4 linked regions of the Yarrowia lipolytica genome follow. The protein of the gene in region 1 purifies or fractionates together with the protein of each later gene. This does not show direct contact. Links are inferred from orthologs where the notes say so. Each region holds a gene or a part of one and is shown in the gene's direction. Other genes may lie near its edges. The genes, in order: YALI1_D20768g, YALI1_C00422g, YALI1_D33229g and YALI1_B02091g.

Region 1 (3,140 bases):
CGGGGAAGATGAGTTTGGAGTACTGTTTTCCGGCCGCCAGAGCGGTTCTGAGCGCCACCTTTAGCTGATCAGCTGTGATCTTGTAGGGGTCATTTTTGGGGGGTCTAAAGGTGATGGGGAAGTAGCAGAAGGTGGCGTCAAACTGCGGCTCCACGTCGTTTTCAGGCACAGTCAGGTTGTTGCTGATCCACTCGTTGATAGCAAAGGACTCCAGCAGGTTTCGGGGGTCCTTCTCGCCGTTGGTGCAGGTCAGGAAACACTTGATGAAGCCTTCCTGGGCTGAAGCAGTGCTTTTGAGCGACTGGCTCTTATTCTCAGTCAAGTATCGGAGTAGAACGTAGGCCTTGTATCTGACCACCTGCACATGTGAAGAGGGCAGGTAGTAGCCGACGAGGCTGTCCACGATTTTTTTGACGCTCAGAGAGCTGATGGCCGACATGGTGACCACGGCGTTCATGCCGTCGAGAACCTGGCCCGTGACGGGCTCGTCGGCCAGACGTTCGCTGAGAAACTCGCAGATGACAGTGAGTTGCTGCTTGGTCAGTTTGTCAGTAGGCAGATCTTTGAGCACGTCAGAGATGCATTGGATGGCGGTCTGTCGGGTTTTGGCAGACTCGTCAACGAGGTATTCTCCGAGCAGCTGCACGAGATCGACCAGTTTAGCCTGGTCCGTGGTGATCACTGTGTTAGCATGAAGCGGTAGTTGTAGGGAAGGAAGAGACGGGGCATAGTGGGAGGAGATGATGATCAAGATACGAGGGTAGGGCACCAGAGAGACGATATTACCACTTGCCACTGGAAGGCACCCAAACAGGCGCCGAACAGACACCAAACAGGCACCGAACAGACACCAAACAGACACCCAAACCAACCCAGTCAATCCATGGACCGGTCTAGATCACCTCAGATCATATCTTACCCCGCATGACTCAGATAACAGCTGAACCACAACTTCCCGACCATAAAGAAAGAAGAAAAGCAACCAAAGCACATGTTTCCCTGTCAACGGTTCATCCTTCATCGACTTAGCCCATCTCTATCAAATCTCGATCATCTTCTGGTCTAGACCTAGATGGATCATAAGGCAGAGAACACACCACCACCACTACCACCACCGCCACCGCCACATCTGCGGCGAAAAAGCCGCGGCAACAACATCCAGAATTATAAACACGTGTCCAAAAGTCGATTCCCATTCCTTCTTCCCTCCTACCACTATCCAGTCTCTATCTCCGTCGGGTCGTGGATCTATAGTCCATCACACCTTTGTCGCACACTCCCTCCACCGTAAACTCCAAGCTGGATACTCACAATCAGCGATACCTGCGGCGTTGCCCGTAGCGGCCATGTATTGGTTGACCAAGGCGTCCATGATCAAAGTGGCACACTGTATGTCGTTTTCGAGGGTCTTGTTCAGGTCGGACTGCCTCTGTTCCTGGTGACAATCTCCATTTTTCTTACTCACAGAAGAGTCTATGTGAAATAAGGTTTGCCACACTCCTCCCAATACCCATCCTCATACACCCACCCACCCATCAACGACTGTGAATTGTCTCTGTCTCCATCGACACATTTTCCTCATTCCTCATTCGTCTAAAGACTCATCATGGACGTGGATTCCGATATCGCCGCCGAGTCGGTGGCCCGAGTGTACGCGGACGTGAACAACCTGATGCCGCCATCGTACTGGGACTACGACAAGCTGGCGCTCAAATGGGGTCAGCAGGACAACTACGAAATCATCAAGAAAATCGGCCGAGGCAAATACTCGGAGGTGTTTGAGGGCATCAACATTGTGTCCAAAGAGCTGGTGGTGATCAAGGCGCTCAAGCCCGTCAAGCGCAAGAAGATCAAGCGAGAAGTCAAGATTCTGCAAAATCTCGCAGGAGGACCCAACATCATCTCGCTGCTGGAAACGGTGCGAGACCCGCAGAGCAAAATGCCGGCCTTCATCTTCGAACACGTGCAGAACCTCGACTTCCGGGCGCTGTACCCCAAATTCACAGACTATGACATTCGCTACTACATGTACGAGCTGCTAAAGGCCATCGACTACAGCCACTCCAAGGGCATCATGCACCGGGACGTGAAGCCACACAATGTCATGATTGACCACGAGAAGCGCAAGCTGCGCCTCATTGACTGGGGCTTGGCCGAGTTCTACCACGCGGGCACCGAATACAACGTCAGAGTGGCCTCGCGGTACTTCAAGGGACCCGAGCTGCTGGTCGACTTCCAGCTCTACGACTACTCCTTGGACCTGTGGTCCTACGGCGCCATGTTTGCCTCCATGATTTTCAAAAAGGAGCCTTTCTTCCATGGTACCTCCAACACGGACCAGCTGGTGAAAATCGCACGGGTGCTGGGAACAGAAAAGCTCTGGGACTATCTGGAAAAGTACAATATTGAGCTCGGAGCCGAGTACGACGACATTGGAACCTACCCCGCCCGACCCTGGAGCAAGTTTGTCAACGTGGACAACGAGGCCTACATTAGCCAAGAAGCGATACATTTACTGGATAACCTGCTGAGATACGACCATCAGGAGAGACTGACTGCCAAGGAGGCCATGGCGCACGATTACTTCAAGCCCGTCAGAGTTAGAGAAGAGGGCGAGCAGGAATAGATGGCGAGCAGGAATAGATGACGAGCAGCTCTATTGGGTCGTCTACCAACGGCCGCGAGCGAGCAAAGGTGAGACACATGGGCCCCCCCATCGATTCGCCAACCAGTCTTGAGCGCGTGTATTAATGAGCTAACTTGCACTACACGCGCTTGCTAAGCTATGACTCAGTGACTTCCAGTGACTCCAACATTTCTGTCACCACTGGACCAAACATTAATTCAACTCATGCTCAAAGAGACAGTCATTGAAGGGTGTATATCGGTACTTTAATAAAAGGAATATTCTTAGACAATGTAGGCGACTGTAAAGAGGCTGAGCAGAAACTTATCGTCATGACAGTTTGTTGACAACTTTGCAGTCATTATGGCCGAGGGTAAATAGGTGGTTGACGACGTCTGAAGACAATGTGAAGTTTCACAGTTGAGCGAGAGGTCAACATCGTGAACTAAGAGTATGCTCTAGCCCATCTCAGAGCTGAGCGCAGGGTGGCTTCTAGCTGGGGAGAAGCAGGATG
Region 2 (6,480 bases), on another chromosome or scaffold:
GTGACACTTTAATTAGAGAAGAGGAGACACGTGTTTGAAAGCGTGGGAGGGGGTCTGAAGAGATAAAAGCCCACATTTATCTGTTTAAACAGGTACGACAAACATTGTATCACGCGATACCCTCTCTGCTGTCCTCAATTCCTCCTAAACACTCACTTCTCCTTTCCGGCTTGCCATTGGTGGCGTGAAAGAGCCATGCCATACTACGGACAGTTGAGAATTTCGTGATGACACATTCACCAGGCACCAGGTACAACCAAACTATGTGTCAGGTACGCACGTGATAACAGTACCAACAGAAATTGTACCCATTCTGTCACAGTGTCTTCTCCTATGTCGTGATCTATATGAGCCACATTCTCTCCTACTATTCACATCAGATTATGAAAGCTGCACTGTAGCTAAAAGGTTGGGAATTTACTGTAGGAAAACTGCACATACTGTAGAGAGCTGGGAGGAAGAGATATCAAATAATATAGCTTAAATCAACATGTGGAGATCTACTACTTTATAAGAACAATACCGTACAAGTGCACAAGTACATAGTTGCAGTCATGTTACAGCATCTGGACGACCTCAAAGTCAGTGTCTACCCAATCAGGAACACCCTAACCCTCCATATCCTTGTCGCCGCGTACATATTAAACTCTGGCCGGGTAAGTGGCATCTTGCCGGGGAAAAGGGTTTGAAAGATTCTTGTACAGAACTTCTCCCATTGGCCAGAACCCTAAAATGCGGTTAGGGCACCTCAGGCTAACAAATGTGGCTATCGCCCAAACTCCTCCTCCTCTAGCCAGACAAAGTACCCGCCCCTGACCTCTTGTTTGGCAACCACTGTCGCTTCAAAGTCACGCGTCTCGTCGACGAGATGAACACGCACCGCAGACACACTGTGGCATTGGTCTGCGCCTGTGCCACGCCCGCTGGACACTACACTACGGCGCTGTCCTGGTCACGTCCTGTCTGTGTCCCCGCCATCTCCTAGGCCCTGTGGTATCATATCCAAATATGCTTTGGACGTGTATCGGGGCGTTTTTGGAGTGTGGCTACGGCGTCAGAGAGCTCGTGGCACCGTCTAGGACCTACAGAGGTGCTCTAGGGCGTCGCACAAGGGCTGGGTCGCCCGGATCATCGCAGCCATGGTGCCCACACGCGTGCTCATGTACTCTGCTGCTCACCTCCGTGACTGACATCGCCAGACGCGTCACCTGGCGGAAGAACTCTTGGTGTGAAGCTTTGTAAACACAGGGCGTGAAGCTCTGTCTACCGCTGTGGTGACTCCTTACGTAGAATCTCGGGGACAACCATGACGATGTTGTGATTGTGTCTCCGCCGTAACTTTTCATGTCCTTACTCTGTATCTTTCATAGCGCAATTCATTCCACTCTCCCACAAACAATAACCCGTACCATCCCCACTGTTTCTGCATATACACATTACTGTGTTGCTGTCGTCACGCTCTTTTTTTTTGCCGACATTTTCTCTTCATCCATCGCTCACAGAACCGCGCAACAGCACAACGGAGAAGGAACCAGAGACTTGATCACGTCTCTTTTCCTCACACAAAAGCACAACCACGACGCCAGAAACACAGACAGAAGGTCATCAACCCCTCTGCATTTTCCCCGCCGCCCACAGCGTTTGATATACGTCCATTAGCAGGTTGTGGTAACAATGGTGAGTACACTGGACTGAAGATGGCATGGTGGAGAATAAGTGGGTGATAACTGTCACAAAGAGATGGTAGAGACAGGCTACGATGCTCTATCTACCCACAAAAGTCACCATGTTGCTGTTACTAACCCTAGAACCCCGACTTCAACGACGACCCCGAGCTCTATGGGCTGCGACGGTCCCGGAGATCAGCGGTGACTACGGCCAACGAGGCCCGCAAGAGATACGTCGACTATTCGTCGTCGGAAGAGGACGTGCCCAAACGTCCCCAGAGAAAGAAGCAGGCCAAAAAGAGCAACGGAATCGTCCTCTCCGACGAGAGCGAAATGTCTCTGGATGATGAGGAATCAGAGGAGGACGATGAGGACTCTGAGGAGGACGACTACGCACCGACCAAGAAGGCTAAGAAATCGTCTTCTTCCAGACGCAAGGGTGGACGAAACAAGTCGTCTGCCCGAGAGCCGTCCCCCGACTACCAGAACCTGCGGTTCTCGTCTCGTAACGCCAAGGTGGTCAACTACAATATTGACCATGACGATGACGAATTTCTGGAGGACGAGGATGAGGACGCTCTGCAGGACGCATACGGTGATGCCGCTGCTAATGACACATACGACTACGCCACCACCACGTCCACCGAGGCGGTGGATATGGTGCTGGACCATCGTCGAAAAGAAGGCGACGACGACTCGCAGATTACAGATCTGTTTGACGCCAAGCGACACCTCGAGTTCTACATCAAGTGGCAGAACTACTCGCATCTGCACAACACGTGGGAGACGTACGATTCGCTGGCCGGCTTCAAGGGAATCAAGCGAGTCGATAATTACATCAAGCTCAACGTGCTGGAGTATGCAGAGCTGCAGCGAGATGCATCCCCCGAGGATATCGAGGCCATGGAGCTGCGACGCGAGCGCGAACAGGAGGAGTACGCTGAGTATAAACTTGTTGAGCGAATCATTGCATCAGATCGTGTCGCTGTCGACAATGGAGCCACTCAGTTGCAGTATCTCGTAAAGTGGAAGCGACTCAACTACTCGGACGCCACCTGGGAAGATGCCGAGGAGATCGCCAAGATTGCCGAGGACGAAGTCGAGCGGTTCCAGGACCGGCTCAACTCGAAAATCAATCCCAGCCAGAGCGCAGTCTACCCTGCCAACTCACGTCCTCCGTTTGAGAAGCTTACCGAGCAGCCTGGCTTCATCAAGGGTGGTGAACTTCGAGACTTCCAGCTGACCGGAATCAACTGGATGGCCTTCTTGTGGTCTCGAAACGAAAACGGTATTCTTGCCGACGAAATGGGACTCGGTAAAACCGTCCAAACCGTTGCATTTCTCTCATGGCTTGTGTACGCTCGAAAGCAGCACGGGCCCCACCTGGTGGTAGTTCCTCTGTCTACTGTGCCTGCCTGGCAGGAGACCTTTGAGTTCTGGGCGCCTGGTATCAACTACCTCGCATATCTCGGCAACACCGAGTCTCGAAAAGCACTTCGTGACCACGAATTCTACAACAAAACTGGTAACAAGAAACCCAAGTTCAATGTTCTTCTGACCACCTACGAGTACATTCTTAAGGACCGAGCCGAGCTGGGGTCCATCAAGTGGCAGTACCTGGCTGTTGACGAGGCCCACCGTCTCAAGAACGCCGAGTCAGCTCTCTACGAGTCTCTCAAGGAGTTCCGAGTCGCAAATAGACTGCTCATCACCGGTACTCCGCTGCAGAACAACATCAAGGAGCTGGCTGCTCTGGTTGACTTCCTGATGCCTGGCAAGCTCACCATCGATCTGGAAATTAATTTTGAGAACCCTGACGAAGAGCAGGAGGGTTACATTCGTGAGCTTCATAAGCGCCTGCAGCCTTTCATCTTGCGTCGACTCAAGAAGGATGTCGAGAAATCACTGCCCTCTAAGACAGAGCGAATTCTGCGAGTCGAAATGTCCGACATGCAGCAGGATTACTACAAGAACATCATTTCCAAAAACTACACGGCTCTGAACGCCGGAGCCACCGGAGGTCACCAGATGTCACTTCTCAACATCATGACGGAGCTCAAGAAGGCCTCCAACCATCCGTACCTGTTCCCCACTGCCGAGAGCAAGTTCCTCAGCTTGGCTGAGAACGGCGCTTCTCGAGAAAACGTCTTCCGAGGCATGATTATGACCTCTGGTAAGATGGTTCTTCTCGATAAGCTGCTCACTCAGCTGAAAAAGGACGGTCATCGAGTTCTGATTTTCTCCCAGATGGTTCGAATGCTCGACATTTTAGGCGATTATTTGCAGATTAAGGGCTACCAATTCCAGCGTCTGGATGGTACTGTCCCCTCTGCCACCCGTCGAATTGCAATTGACCATTACAATGCCCCTGACAGTAACGACTTCGTCTTCTTGCTGTCCACTCGAGCTGGAGGTTTGGGTATCAACCTGATGACGGCCGATACAGTCATCATTTTTGATTCGGATTGGAACCCCCAGGCTGATCTGCAGGCCATGGCTCGAGCCCATCGAATCGGTCAGAAGAACCACGTGATGGTCTATCGATTTGTGTCCAAGGACACTGTTGAAGAGCAGGTTCTCGAGCGTGCCAGAAAGAAGATGATTTTGGAGTACGCCATCATCTCCCTTGGTATCACCGACAAGGGTTCTTCCAACAACAAAAAGACTGAGCCGTCGACCTCGGAGCTGTCTGAGATCCTAAAGTTTGGCGCCGGAAATATGTTCAAGGCCAACGATAACCAGGACAAGCTGGAGAACATGAACCTAGACGATGTTCTGAACCACGCAGAGGACCATATCACCACTCCTGATCTCGGCGAGAGTCATCTTGGCGGCGAGGAGTTCCTTAAGCAGTTTGAGGTCACTGACTACAAGGCCGATGTTGATTGGGACGACATTATCCCTGCCAACGAGCTCGCCAAGATCAAGGCTGACGATCTGCGTCGAAAGGACGAGGAGTACGTCAAGGAACAGATGGATCTAATGAATCGACGTCGAGCTGCCTCTCAGCGTGCCTCCACTGCTGCTCTTGAGTCCTCTGACGAAAATGAGGAGAGTGGAGGGCGGCGTGTGGTCAAGCGCAAGAAGGAGGACAAGTTCCTCAACGAGCGGGAGATCAGAGGTTTGTACCGAACAATTCTACGTTACGGCGACGTCTCCGTCATGTGGGATAAGCTTTTCAACGACGGTACTTTGCCCCAGCGAAAGTCCGATCTCATCAAGGAAGCCTACTTTGACCTCATTGACCAGAGTAAGCGGGAGGTTGAGGAGCGAGAAAAGCAGATCAAGGAAGAGGCTGAAGCTGCTGCCGCTGCTGCGGCAAAGGCTGCTGCTTCTCGAGGCGGTGGAGATACTGCCCTGGACGAGAAGAAGCCCTCCAACACCAAAAAGGCCGTTCTTTTCACCTTCCAGGGCGTCAAGAACATCAACGCCGAACTGCTCATCTCACGACCAGCCGACATGAAGCTCATTCGAAGCCAGGTGACGGACACTTTCAAGTTCGACGAACCTCTCAAGAGTGTGCATGGCTGGAACTGTGAGTGGGACGAGGACTGTGACGCTCGTCTGCTCATTGGTACCAAGAAGTACGGTTATGGAGCCTGGACCTTCATTCGAGACGATCCACGTCTCAAATTTGGAGACAAGTTCTACCTTGAGGAGCACCGAGTTGACAAGAAGGAGGCTCGAGAGAAGACTGGAGCCAAGGTTCCTGGTGCCGTTCACCTCGGTCGTCGAGTTGACTACCTCATCTCTGTTCTCAAGGGCGAGGCTGTTCACACCAACAACGATGGCAACAAGAAGCGAATTGCCATCAAGGAGCGTGTTCGAAAGAGCGAATCTCCCGCAGTGTCCACTCCTCAACCTCCCAAGAAGGCTGCTATCAAGCGAGATCCTTCCATCAAGCGAGATCCTTCCATCAAGCGAGAGACTCCCAAGCGAGAGACTCCTGTCCCCAAGAAGATTCCTGGACCTCCCACGGCTGACGACTACTCAGACTATGAGTCAATGGACGATGAGGCGTGTCGAACGACTCTCAAACCTGTCAAGGCGTCTCTGAAGCGCCTCAAGAAGGGCGAGGATGGTTTGGACAAGAAGGCCTGGCTGGAGGTCCTCAAGAAGGAGCTGTCCACGGTGGGCCACCACATCGACTCCGAAGCCCAGAAGGTCTCTGATAAGAAGCGGGAGAAGACTCTCAAGCATCTGTGGGCGTTTGCATCCTTCTTCTGGCCCAGCAGAGTCAAGAGTAACCGTATCCGGGCAATGTACGAGAAGGTCAGCGGAGCCGCCAAAAAGTAGACTTCCAAAGTCTACTGTAACGCATCATGTAATCATATTAAAGTAATCAATATTTGTATTTTATATCGGTGTGACTAGCTCTCGTAAGCCGGTAGTGGTGGTTGCTTCTCAGGTAAGGAGGCCACGGATCGTACTGGCAATGGCAAACTTGGATCAGTGTCGTTGCTTAGAGCGTTTTCTCGATGGAAGATCGTCACAGGAGTGCTGATATTATGGTCGAAGAATCGTCTTCTCTTAATGTTACCTTGGGTCTCCAGTAACGAGAATCTCAGCGTGCTCTGGAGAGAGTGTGAGGTGGGCGCTGGATGGCTTGTCTTTGTGGTTGGGTTGATGTGGTCTGTGAATTTCCTCAGCGAAAACTTGTAGTTTAGATCTGTGTGGTCTGAGCCGTAGTCGAGAAGATTTCCCTTGCAACATGTGTCCAGAAAGTGTTGTTTGTACTCGTAGCCGCTCTCTTCAATCTCCTTGAGTTCGTTTTCATGCTGTTCAAGCAGATCAGGCGTCATGTAATGTTGGC
Region 3 (4,046 bases), about 1.2 Mb from region 1:
CAAGTTTGTGCTCATGTTTGTGTTGGTTGTTCTGCTTCTGGCAGCCGACTTTTGGAACGTCAAAAACATTGCCGGACGGCTCATGGTGGGCCTGAGATGGTGGAACGAGGCGTCGGAGACGGGCGAGTCCGTGTGGGTGTTCGAGACGGCCGATCCCCAGCGGTACATAAATCCCATTGACTCCAAGGTCTTTTGGATGATGCTGTATGGCGCCCCTGTCTTGTGGGTGTGTTTGGCGGTTCTGGCGCTGCTCAAGTTCCAGTTTCTGTCTCTGATTCTGGTCTTTATTGCTGTGTCTCTGACCGTCACTAACGCCATGGCCTACTCTCGATGTGACAAGTTTGGCAAGGCCAATAACATTGTTGGCCAGGTCAGCGGCGGTCTCTTGTCTAGAGCTGCCAGAGGTACCTTCCTTGGGCGGTTCATGTAACTGATGCGGGTTTCCGCGGTGAATTCCACCCGCCACTGTCAAAGATATATATATTAATGAATTACGACTGGAAACGAATGCTCAGAGGCTTTGGCACTCAAAAAAAACAATAAATTCCTATATACAATGCGATTTTGGAAGGTACCGCTGCTATAGTGACAAGCTCCCGGTCTGTTACTCATCCTTCCGGAGGTCGTTAGCAACAGCCTGGTTGATCTTCTGATGCTCCTTGAGCACCAGAGCCTGGGCCTCCCGCTCAATGTCGCCCTGCTCGTTGAAATAGTCGGTGATCTTCATACCGCCGTAGGCCAAGATGCCAGTAAAAGCCGCAGCGATGATTCGTTGCGATGGGGGGATCTGCATCCACCGCTGGTAGAGGGACACTGCGTTAGTACGGAAATGAGCACTGAGGGGTGGAATACTGGAGGACTGTTCCAGATTTGGTCCGGTTACGCTTCGTTAACGACGGAATGGCCCATTCTGCCAGCTCCAGCTATATGGTCCTTTCCAGTTTCCCGTCAGTCTAGTAGAATCAGGTCCATCTCGACTATGGAGCTTTGGACAGACCGGAGCAGTTCAGAATAGTGAGGCAGCCAGCAGAAGAGGAACAGCAGAAGAGGAACATCAGGATCAAACTGAGTCTGAATTCTGCCCACGAGATACGTGGCTCAAGTTAAGTTCTGTCTGTTCTGTCTGTTCTGTCTGTTCTGATGCCCTACCACGGTACAGCCATGTCAGAGTCGATTAATCGGCCCAGATGTGCAAGTGGAAAGCAACTGTTGATAATGCACACGTACTCAACTTAGAGATGTACACATACTCATTCACACTTACTCAGTCACACGTCATCAGTCGTATTCAGTCTGTCTTTTCATCTTGACTTCAGTTCACTCTCTCTCAATACACAGAGATACCGTTCCTTCTGCGTGACTTCTATATCACATCTCCTCGTCTTCTCCCCTTCTCCCCTCCTTTCCCCTTCTCCCCTCCTCTCCCCTCCTCGCCTTGTCACACTCACTGTTTGCGTCGCTAGTTTGCGTCTGGTGAACCAATTGACGCTTCCACTTCCCTGCTTCACTTGGGGAGGTTGGGATATTCAGGGTTAGGGTTTTTCATTAAGTGCATATTTAGTACATAACTAGCAAGGAGTGTAGATGGAAGTAACAATAATGAGGACCCAGTGTAGAATGGCTTGGGGCGGAGATATCGTCAAAATGATACTTTCACGTGACTCCCTAACGCCTATTACCCCTCAATCCGCCTCCAAACTTGGAATTTGGTGGACCCTCGGGGCTACAGCGATACCCCGCTTCTCTTGTCCTCTCCCCCATCCTCCTCCCTCCTCTTCTTAGGTCACGTGACCACGCGTTTAACTTTCTGGCAGAGTCCAAATCACCATACATACATTACCGGCACGTCGAAGCGCCATCGTCATCGTTCACACATTTACAGCACAGTACGCAAAAAAAAACACGATGTCTACGACTGAATTCGACGGCATCTATCTCAATCAGAGCAAGGCGCACGGCCGTCTGCGGATGGTTGAGACGGGCCTGGGCTGGAAGGCAGTGCAGAAGACGTCAATGGGCGGATCGAAGGAGACCAAGAAGGACGAGCCGTTTCTACTTGGAAAGGAGGAGCTGCTGGCGGCGTTTTGGAGTCGGGGCTCTCGGGGATTCGAGATGAAGATCCAGACGAAAAACCGCGGGGCCGCCAACTTTGACGGGTTTGAACAGGACAACCTGGAGGAGCTGAAGAACGTGATGAAGCGCAACTATGGCATTTCAGTGGAGCAGCGCGAGCACAGCGTCAAGGGTTGGAACTGGGGCAAGACGGACTTTGAGCGATCCGAGCTGGTTTTTTCCGTCGCCAACAAGCCCGCATTCGAGATCCCCTACGCCGAAGTGGCCAACTCCAACCTGGTGGGCAAAAATGAGGTTGCTCTGGAGTTCCAGCAGCCCGCCGATGGACGGGCAGGCGACGAGCTCGTCGAAATGCGATTCTACGTGCCCGGAGTAACTTCTGTGGAAGGTGATGAGAACCCCAAGAAGAAGCAGAAGACGGAGAAGAAGGAGGGAGAAGAAGGCAAGGAAGGAGACGACGACGCCGACGCCGACGACGAATCAGAAGAGGAGGTCCAGTCCACCGCCCAGATCTTCTACGACACCCTCAAGGAAAAGGCCGACATTGGAGCCGTGGCAGGTACGGCTGTGGTGTCTTTGTCGGAGATCTACCTGGTCATCCCCCGAGGACGATACGATATCGACATGTACGCCAACTTCATGCGACTTCGAGGAAAAACATACGATTACATGGTGCAGTACAAGCACGTGCAGCGGCTCATTGTGCTGCCCAAGCCCGACGATCTGCACAACATTCTCGTGGTGCAGCTGGATCCTCCTCTCAGACAGGGCCAGACTCGGTACCCGTTTCTGGTGATGCAATTCCTGCGTGAGGCCGAAATCAAAGTCGAGCTCAATGTCGACGACGCCGAGTTTGCCGAAAAGTACGCCGACAAGGGTCTCAAGCAGTCGTACGACGAGTCTGCTCACCAGGTGGTTGGATCTATTTTCCGCGGTCTCACTGGCCGAAAACTGACCGTGCCAGGCTCGTTCAAGACCGTGCATGGCCATGCTGGTGTCTCCTGTTCGCTCAAGGCGTCTGAGGGCCATCTATACCCCCTGGAACGAAATTTCCTGTTTCTTTCCAAGCCCGTTTTCATTCCCTTTGCCGAGATTCAAGATATCACTCTGTCTCGAGTGGGTTCTTCGGTAACCACCTCTCGAACGTTTGACATGACTCTCAAGCTGCGAAACGCCCAGGGTGAGTACCAGTTCTCCAACATCTCCAAGGAAGAGCAGGAGGGTCTCGAGGCGTTCATCAAGTCCAAGGGCATTCGTCTTAAGAATGATCTTGCTGAGGAGAAGGCGCTGCTGGCTGCCACTCTGGCTGAGGTGGACGATGACTCTGATGATGGAGGAGAGTTTCGAGGCTCGGCTGATGAGGATGACGAGAGTCCTGATGAGGACTTTCATGCCGAGAGTGATAGTGAGGTGGCGGAGGAGTTTGACTCGAATGCCGAGAGCAGTTCGGGAGAGGAGGATGACGAGTGATTCCGGCGCGGCTTCGCGCGTCGCGGGAAATTGCTTGTTGGGTAACAATAGCAGCTCCGGACGAAGCAAACTCGTATCTGATTCGAGACAGATTCAAGAGTGCAAAAGTCTCACAAGGAATTTGCTACTGGTAGATATATGAATTAATGTTGATTAGGTGGATGTATTTGAATGGGACACATTCAGTTGGTAAGAATGTATTATCTGAGCTGCTCTGGAGTCTTGAGTGACAGATATTTTGTTTGAATTGGACCATTGTTAGTGTACTGTGCATTTCTGGAGCTCTGAAGTAACTATTACTTGAGGCCCACTCCAAAGTCAACAAAATCAGCACTCGTATTTCGCGTTGAAATGTGGATATCTCAAATATCTGTACTGCCAATATCTTGAAGATGAATATTAGTTGATTAGTTGATGCTTTTAAACCAATTCACACAAGTCTTGCGATTTCATTGGTCCCGTGACACCGAGAAGTGACCCACAGCGGGAATTCCTTTCAACAA
Region 4 (7,108 bases), on another chromosome or scaffold:
GGCGTCGGCGGCGTGTTCCTTTAGCGTGAGCAGACCACGAGTACGTCTAGTGGCATGGGCGACACGATCTTCCGGCAAATGGCCTAGGACAGTTGAGGTACTTCTTCATTGGCGATTCCTTTGTATCGGGCAAATCTCGACTTAGGAGCCATCAGGTGAAGACGGCAACTCAGCTGCAGCATGTGTAGCGGATTGTCACCTCTGTAGTTCTTAGTTAGAAACTGGTTGGCCTTGAGACAGGTTCGTTTCAACCGTGATTCCAACGTCATTCCAACGTGATTCCAACGTCATTTCAACGTGATCCAACGTGATCCAACGTGATCCAACGTGATCCAACGTGAGTCGTTCTTCATAAACTGGTCACGCCAACTGTCCTGGACAAGGACATGTTCAGCATCCAGGCCGTGGGGTGGCGTTTGAGGCCAAAGAGAGCATACTGACGAAGAGCTTTCAGCTTTCGATAATATTCTCACGTAGTTCTTTTCCACGTTGTCCTTGGAGTTGAAATGAATACCCGGGTACTGTACAGTAGCACTCAGGGATGGCGGTGAATTGGCAAAGATGCCAATAGTGTGCGTTCAAGAATAACATCAGATAGCGAGACTAGTTGCTGGGGAGACTCGACACGCGGGATAACAGCTCTGGTCGGATTGAGACACTTTGAGGAGTTCTGTGGGGTCCTCATCCTTTGGTGTAGGAGGATCACGAAAGGTTTCATTGAGTGCCTATTCAAAGAAAGAGGCCCCAAAAGAGACCTTGAACTGAGTCCAAAAACCCGACATGGAGCTTGTAGATGAAGCGGTCATGCCTGGAGCGCATTCGTTTTGTTTTTTGAGGCCTTGAAGGCATACCGGCTCACAAACTCTTAAGCCCCGGGGTTGTCGCATTCGGCCCGGAGACAAACAGCTTTCTGGAGTCCGACTGGATGGGCTCCGTAGAGAGATTCTCAGGTCAAACGACTGTCAACCATCCCTCAGTCGGGGAAGATACTCTGGGGAGTATATGATGTTCTCTCCAGGTGCCTTTTCTGACGAGCCCTGGCTCTATGAGGGACTGAAACTTGAAGAAGCTGTACATTGATGGAGACAAATCCGATTAGAAGCTCGCCAGCTCAATAATCGCCTCGTCTGCTTGTGTGAGTGTCGTTTGGAGGTTGAGACACTGTCGTGGTGTGGATCGTACTCAGGGTCATTAGAATTGATTAAAAAATCAGGGTAGAACTTCGCTTTTTCACCGGCTATCTCATTTCATCGTAGTTGTAGTTTGAACCAAATTATTCCACACGGTATGGACTCGTACAAGTCTCTGACCTGGAAGTGTTGTTTTCTTTGTTTTTTTTTTTATTTTTTTATATTTTTCGCCAGTTTTCTAAAACGAATTTATTTTTTTATTTTATTTATTTATTTATTTTATTTTATTTTATTTAATTTTATTTAATTTATTTAATTTAATTTAATTTAATTCTATTTAATTCTATTTAATTCTATTTGAAAACTCGGTTCAAAACTCCCACTGGAAATTTTAAACTTCCTCCGACTCGGAGAGTCTATCCAGTAAATAAAAATGGGGAAAATAGACAGAATTAGGAGGCGTGTGTTTCTGTGATCACGTGATTTTCCTGGTTTTCTGTATAGTTTTTTCTGTTTATTTTTCCGTCGTCTTGATCGACCATGGTTTTGTGGTGTTTTCTTTTGGGTTTTTATTTTTATTGTTTTTATTCAGACGAATTTTTTTTTATTTTTTTTGCTCGTTATTCCCACCTCTGTTCCACGTGACCTAACCCTGAAAAACATATTGTTGTCAGCACCACCACAACACGTCAACACCAACCCACCATGTCGTCCCCCGCTAGTGCCAGCGACGTTGATTCGGTCAAGGTCAAGATGGACGAGGACGAAATCGACGTCCGTGATGACGATCGTCACGAAAACGGCGAAGACAACGACAATGACAATGAAGAGATGGATGATAGTAGTGAGGAGGAGGATGATGATGATGAGGAGGAGATTGCTAGGGTGAGTGAAGTGTCGATATGACGAGATGACGAGATGACGAGATGACGAGATGAGCGAAGCGAATCTCGAGTGGATTTGGAGAGATGAGGAATCGAATCTCGATTTGGAGAGACGAGGAATCGAATCTCGAGTGGATTTGAGATGAACTAAGCGAATCTCGATTCCATTAAAAGACTGGAGATTCGTTTCGCTCATCTCCGTAGTGCCGCGGGTCTCATCTCCATAGAGTCGCGGGTCTCATTTGATGCTGGCAATGTTCTGTCTGGTTGGTTCAGTTCAGCGGATCACCAACCACAGTTTTCATCTGAGAAATCACAGTTTTCATCTGAACAATCGCGGTTGCCATCAGGAACAATCCTAGCACAGTAAACAGATCCAAGACTCAGTCAATCGTCGTCTTAGAATTACTGGCAGTGCCAGATCCCGCTGACGACGAGATACTCGCCGTTCTATCCAGTCTCGGCACTCGACTGTCTAACCTGACACTGCGCACTACTGGAGCTGCTCCAACATAATACTAACCCAGGTCCGACAAGGCTTCATTGTGGACGACGACGAAGAGGAAGAAGAAGTGGACAAACCGAGACGAAAACTCAAGAAACGACGACGAGTGATCCCCGAAGACACCGACGACAAACCCCCCACGCCCGCCGAGAACGACCATCTCGACGAAGATGATTTGGACCTCCTCATGGAGAACACGGGCGCGCCCCGAGAACGGCACTTTAAGCGTCTCAAGCGAGCAGGCGATGACGACTCCTCCGACCGCCAGAAGGGACTCGCCGACATGTTCTCCGACGAGGAAGAACAGCCCGCGCCGGTCGAACAGCGCAACGAGTTCGACGACTTCATTGAAGACGACGAGTTCAGTGAGGATGACGCACCAACACGGGGACGTGAGTCGCAGCGAGAGTCACGTGCCACTGGCGCTCCGGCCGCGTTCCTTTCCAAGGACGTGGGCATCGATGATGACAAGCTCAACGAGATCTACGAAGTGTTTGGCGACGGAGAGGAGTACGCATGGGCCCTGGACGCGGAGGAGGACCGCGAGCGTGCCCAGGAGGAGTACGAGGACGAGGGACGTGCTGGTCCAGAGCTCAGAGACGTGTTCGAGCCGTCTGAGCTGAGAGAACGACTCCTGACCGACGAGGATAATGACATCCGGGCACGTGACGAGCCCGAGCGGTACCAGCTTCTGCGTCAGTCGATCGACAAGTACGATCTGTCGGACGAGGACTTTTCCAAGGAGTGCGAGTGGGTGGCTAGCCGTTTGAAGACCATGAAACAGGAGCATGTTCCGCCCCACCTCGATTCCGAGTACGAGACTGCGGTCTCCAAGGTACTGGAGTTCATTGCCAAGGAGAATCTCGAGGTTCCGTTCATCTGGCATCATCGTCGAGACTTTCTTACCCATGTTTCGAAACATGAAAAGTTCAAGGCCAAGGTTGAGGATGACGAGTATGAGCCGACGTTGGAGGCACCTGTGGCATCCACCACCGAAGAAACCAAGGAGATTGAGTACACAACCGTCGAGTTGCTGTCTCTGGACGACCTGTGGATGATTGTGCAGCTTGATCTCGATTACCACGGCATTGTGGAGAAACAGCAGCAGCTGGAGCGGTTGCGAACCCAAGCGGGAGTGTCCAAGACTGGAAACCATTCATTCATCAACGATTTCGCCAACTCTGCCTCGTTGCAGGACACTCAAGACGCCATTGAGTATGTGCAATTTCGGTTTTCCGGCGAGCTCGGCGATTTGCAGTCCGGGTCGTCGAAGCGACATTCTCGGTACGCCAGATACGACCGAATTCGAGCCAGCAAGCTGTATGGTCTGGTCAGACAGTTTGGTATCTCCTCCGACGAGTTTGCAGAGAACCTGGAAACCTCCACGCGTATCAACTACACAGAGGATAACGCGCGAGCTCCAGCTGACCTTGCCACCGACTATTTGAACGATTCCAGCCTGGTCCTGAGTGACGCCGCATCGGCGCTCGAGAGCGCGACTCAGATGTTTGCCATGGAGCTGGCATTTGACCCGCGGGTGCGGCGGTATGTGCGTCAGCAGTTTGCGCAGCTCGCCAAGATTGACGTGTATGCAACCGAGGCGGGTTCCAGTCAGATTGACGAAGCACACCCAGCTTACGAGTTCAAGTACTCGCGAAATCTGTCATTTGAGGAGCTCAGAAAATCGCCCAAACTGTACCTTCAGATGCTGCAGGCCGAGGCTAAGGGCCTGGTGAATGTCCGAGTGTCGTACCCTGATTTCAAAACCAAGTTCATCGATCTTCTGCTGAGTAAGCTGCAGAGCGATGGCGTGTCTGACATTGCCAGTCAATGGAACACCCAGCGACGGGCGGTGGTTCGAATTGCAATGAAGACTCTCGTTCCCATGGTCACTCGATCTATCAAGGAGGAGTTGAGGAACGACTGTGAGCGGCAACTCTTCTTTGAGCTGCGTCGCATGTTTGGCAGAAAGTTGAACCAGGCTCCTTTCAAGCCGCGAAACTACGAAAAGGGCACAGTTCCAAGAGTGTTGGCGCTTTCTGCCGGCCAGGCTGATTTTCGACGAGACGCCGTGGTTGGCGTTTTTGTCGATGAGGAAGGCCGAGTGGCTGAACGGGCCAAGCTCGGAGCTCCACAAACCCAGGAGTTCACCAACGCGCTGTCCGAGATGGTCAAGCGTCGAACTCCCGATCTTATCGCCTTCTCGGGCCAGACAGTCCAATCCCACAGACTCAAGAGCGTGATTGAAGAGGTTGTTCGAACGCAGGGTCTGGAGGCCGAGGGAGAGCCTCTGGAGGTGCGATGGGTGCAGGATGAGGTTGCCTGCCTGTTCAGAAACTCCGCCGGTGCCCTGGTGGAGTTTGCAGACTCGCCTCCTCTGGAACGGTACTGTGTGGCTCTTGCGCGGTATGTTCAGAGCCCCCTGCTGGAGTATCTTTCGCTGGGCAAGGAAATCAAGGCGATTCCCATGGTGGATTTCCAGTCGTTGATTTCTGAGGACCGCTTCTACGAGGCCGTGGACTCGACTTTTGTCGATTACGTCAATCTCGTGGGAGTCGACATCAATGAGGCCATTAGAGACGCTTACGTGGCTCGAATGCTGCCCTACATTGCTGGTTTGGGCCCCCGAAAGGCGTCTGGTCTGACTCACAAAATCCAGTCTCGTGGCTATCTCGGCACTCGTCTGGATCTCATCACCGAGAAGCTGTGTGGAAAGAATGTCTTTATGAACGTGGCTTCGTTCCTGCGTCTTCCTTACGACAAGCGATCGGTTCGTCACGAGGAGACGGAACTTCTGGACGCCACTCGAATCCATATTGAGGATTACGAACTGGCGAAAAAGATGGCTGCTGATGCCCTTGAGCTCGACGAGGAAGATCTTCTGGAGTTTGAGTCCGAGGGAGGAGTTATTGCTCAACTGATGAAGGAGGGCGCCGAGAAGCTCAACGAGCTCATTCTGGAGGGCTACGCCGAGGAACTCGAGCAGAAACTCGGCAAGAAGAAGCGGTACACTCTGGAGATGATCCGAAGAGAGCTCATCAACCACTACGAGGAGCTGCGGGAGCCGTTACACGTGCTGACCGACCTTGAGGTCTTCACTATGCTCACCGGAGAGACGGAAAAATCGCTGCATCCCGGTTCCGTCGTGGCGGTGCAGATTAGAAGAATCTCCGACAGATACCTTGCGGTGCGTCTTTCGTGCGGAATTCAGGGCAACGTGACCCAGGACCGGATCACCGACCAGCGAGGAGTGCATCCGTCGGCGCTGTTTCACCATCAACAGACGATTCGAGCGGTCGTCATGGAGGTGTCATACTCGAATTTCTCCGCAGAGTTGTCGTGTCTCCACCGAGACATTTCTGACGCGCAAAAACGAGCCCGTCAGGTGAAGAGACCGCGAGATCAATGGGACTTTGAAGCGGAGGCCGCCGACAAGTCCGCCCAGGAGGTGCGTCGTGAGGTGGAGCAGCGAAAGACTCGAGTCATCAAGCATCCTCTGTTCAAGCTCTTCTCTGGCTCCGATGCCGAAAAGTTCCTCTCTACACTTCCCCGTGGAGAGCTTGTCATCAGACCCTCGTCACGTGGCACAGATCACATTGCCGTCACGTGGAAGGTCGGTGATGGCATTTACCAGCACATTGACGTCGTGGAGCTCGGCAAGGAAAACGAGTATGCGCTTGGAAAGACTCTCATGGTCGGCACCTCCAAGTACTCCGATCTCGATGAGCTCATCGCCATGCATGTCAAGTCCATGGCTCGAAAGGTAGACGAGCTGTGCCATTCGGACAAGTACTCGGCCGACTCCATTGCCGAGACGGAGCAGAGTATGGACTCGTATCTACGAGGTGGTTCGAAACGAGCCGTGTACCGGTTTGTGCTGTCGTCCAAAAAGGCTGGCTACTTCCATTTGCTGGTTAAGACGGACCAGAAGAGTCCCATGCTTGACTGGCCCGTCAAGGTGATTCCTGGAGGCTACCAGTTGGGTGGAGAAAAGTACCCTGATGTCATGAAGCTGTGCAACGGGTTCAAGACCTTGTTCAAGAGCAAGACTCAGAGAAGATAGTTGTGTATATTAATTGATTGTTGTAATGAAAGTAATCCGAGAGCGAGTCGTAACGACGCTGTTGGATGTGTCTTGGGCTATCCATTCCTCCAAGTGTTTCGTTCGTGTACGCGCACACTTTCACATTCTAGTACTGTACTACAGAGACGTCTACAGTATCTCTTCATCCTATATCGCCCTGCAGCTGAATCATCGGACCTCTGTAGCTGGTCGCTTCGTCCTATCTTTCGAGCGAACGTCGTCCGTTATATCTCGGAAACTCCACTGCGTGCTTGAAGTTGATATTAGCTCTGGTGTCCAAACAGGACTAAAGCCCGAGTAAGATTGGTGATGGCAGATCGCTTGTCGGGTGCAACAGGCGAATATGATAAGCGATTGCGACACTTTTGCCGAACATGTCAAAGTCAGATAATCTAGTAACAAACGAAACCTCTCCTACGTCGAGGTTCCAGTTTGTTTCTGTCGCAGTTCCCACTCCTTGGCCCCCTCCATGATCAAATCAAACACGGGATCCTTCACGTCGTAG

Evidence for each region.
Region 2: the proteins of YALI1_D20768g (region 1) and YALI1_C00422g purify together in Saccharomyces cerevisiae (affinity purification with mass spectrometry; 7 studies listed by BioGRID). This does not show direct contact. The link is inferred for Yarrowia lipolytica from reciprocal best matches to the Saccharomyces cerevisiae genes CKA1 and CHD1.
Region 3: the proteins of YALI1_D20768g (region 1) and YALI1_D33229g purify together in Saccharomyces cerevisiae (affinity purification with mass spectrometry; 5 studies listed by BioGRID). This does not show direct contact. The link is inferred for Yarrowia lipolytica from reciprocal best matches to the Saccharomyces cerevisiae genes CKA1 and POB3.
Region 4: the proteins of YALI1_D20768g (region 1) and YALI1_B02091g purify together in Saccharomyces cerevisiae (affinity purification with mass spectrometry; 3 studies listed by BioGRID, with this or other methods). This does not show direct contact. The link is inferred for Yarrowia lipolytica from reciprocal best matches to the Saccharomyces cerevisiae genes CKA1 and SPT6.

Annotation. Positions count from the first base shown.
Region 1 is NC_090773.1:2,075,185-2,078,324, forward strand, and holds YALI1_D20768g (uncharacterized protein), read left to right. Parts: upstream 1-1,606; coding exon 1,607-2,626; downstream 2,627-3,140. Other genes in the region: YALI1_D20758g (uncharacterized protein), read right to left, coding at 1-681, 1,312-1,372; YALI1_D20784g (uncharacterized protein), read right to left, coding at 3,072-3,140.
Region 2 is NC_090772.1:37,610-44,089, reverse strand, and holds YALI1_C00422g (uncharacterized protein), read left to right. Parts: upstream 1-1,674; coding exon 1,675-1,677; intron 1,678-1,808; coding exon 1,809-5,963; downstream 5,964-6,480. Other genes in the region: YALI1_C00368g (uncharacterized protein), read right to left, coding at 6,038-6,480. UniProt on the Saccharomyces cerevisiae protein: ATP-dependent chromatin-remodeling factor which functions as substrate recognition component of the transcription regulatory histone acetylation (HAT) complexes SAGA and SLIK. It recognizes H3K4me.
Region 3 is NC_090773.1:3,320,974-3,325,019, forward strand, and holds YALI1_D33229g (uncharacterized protein), read left to right. Parts: upstream 1-1,905; coding exon 1,906-3,543; downstream 3,544-4,046. Other genes in the region: YALI1_D33207g (uncharacterized protein), read left to right, coding at 1-430. UniProt on the Saccharomyces cerevisiae protein: Component of the FACT complex, a general chromatin factor that acts to reorganize nucleosomes. The FACT complex is involved in multiple processes that require DNA as a template such as mRNA elongation, DNA replication and DNA repair.
Region 4 is NC_090771.1:207,325-214,432, forward strand, and holds YALI1_B02091g (uncharacterized protein), read left to right. Parts: upstream 1-1,835; coding exon 1,836-2,015; intron 2,016-2,541; coding exon 2,542-6,582; downstream 6,583-7,108. Other genes in the region: YALI1_B02073g (uncharacterized protein), read right to left, coding at 1-46, 91-269; YALI1_B02082g (uncharacterized protein), read right to left, coding at 726-921, 968-1,077; YALI1_B02149g (uncharacterized protein), read right to left, coding at 7,018-7,108. UniProt on the Saccharomyces cerevisiae protein: Histone H3-H4 chaperone that plays a role in maintenance of chromatin structure during RNA polymerase II transcription elongation thereby repressing transcription initiation from cryptic promoters.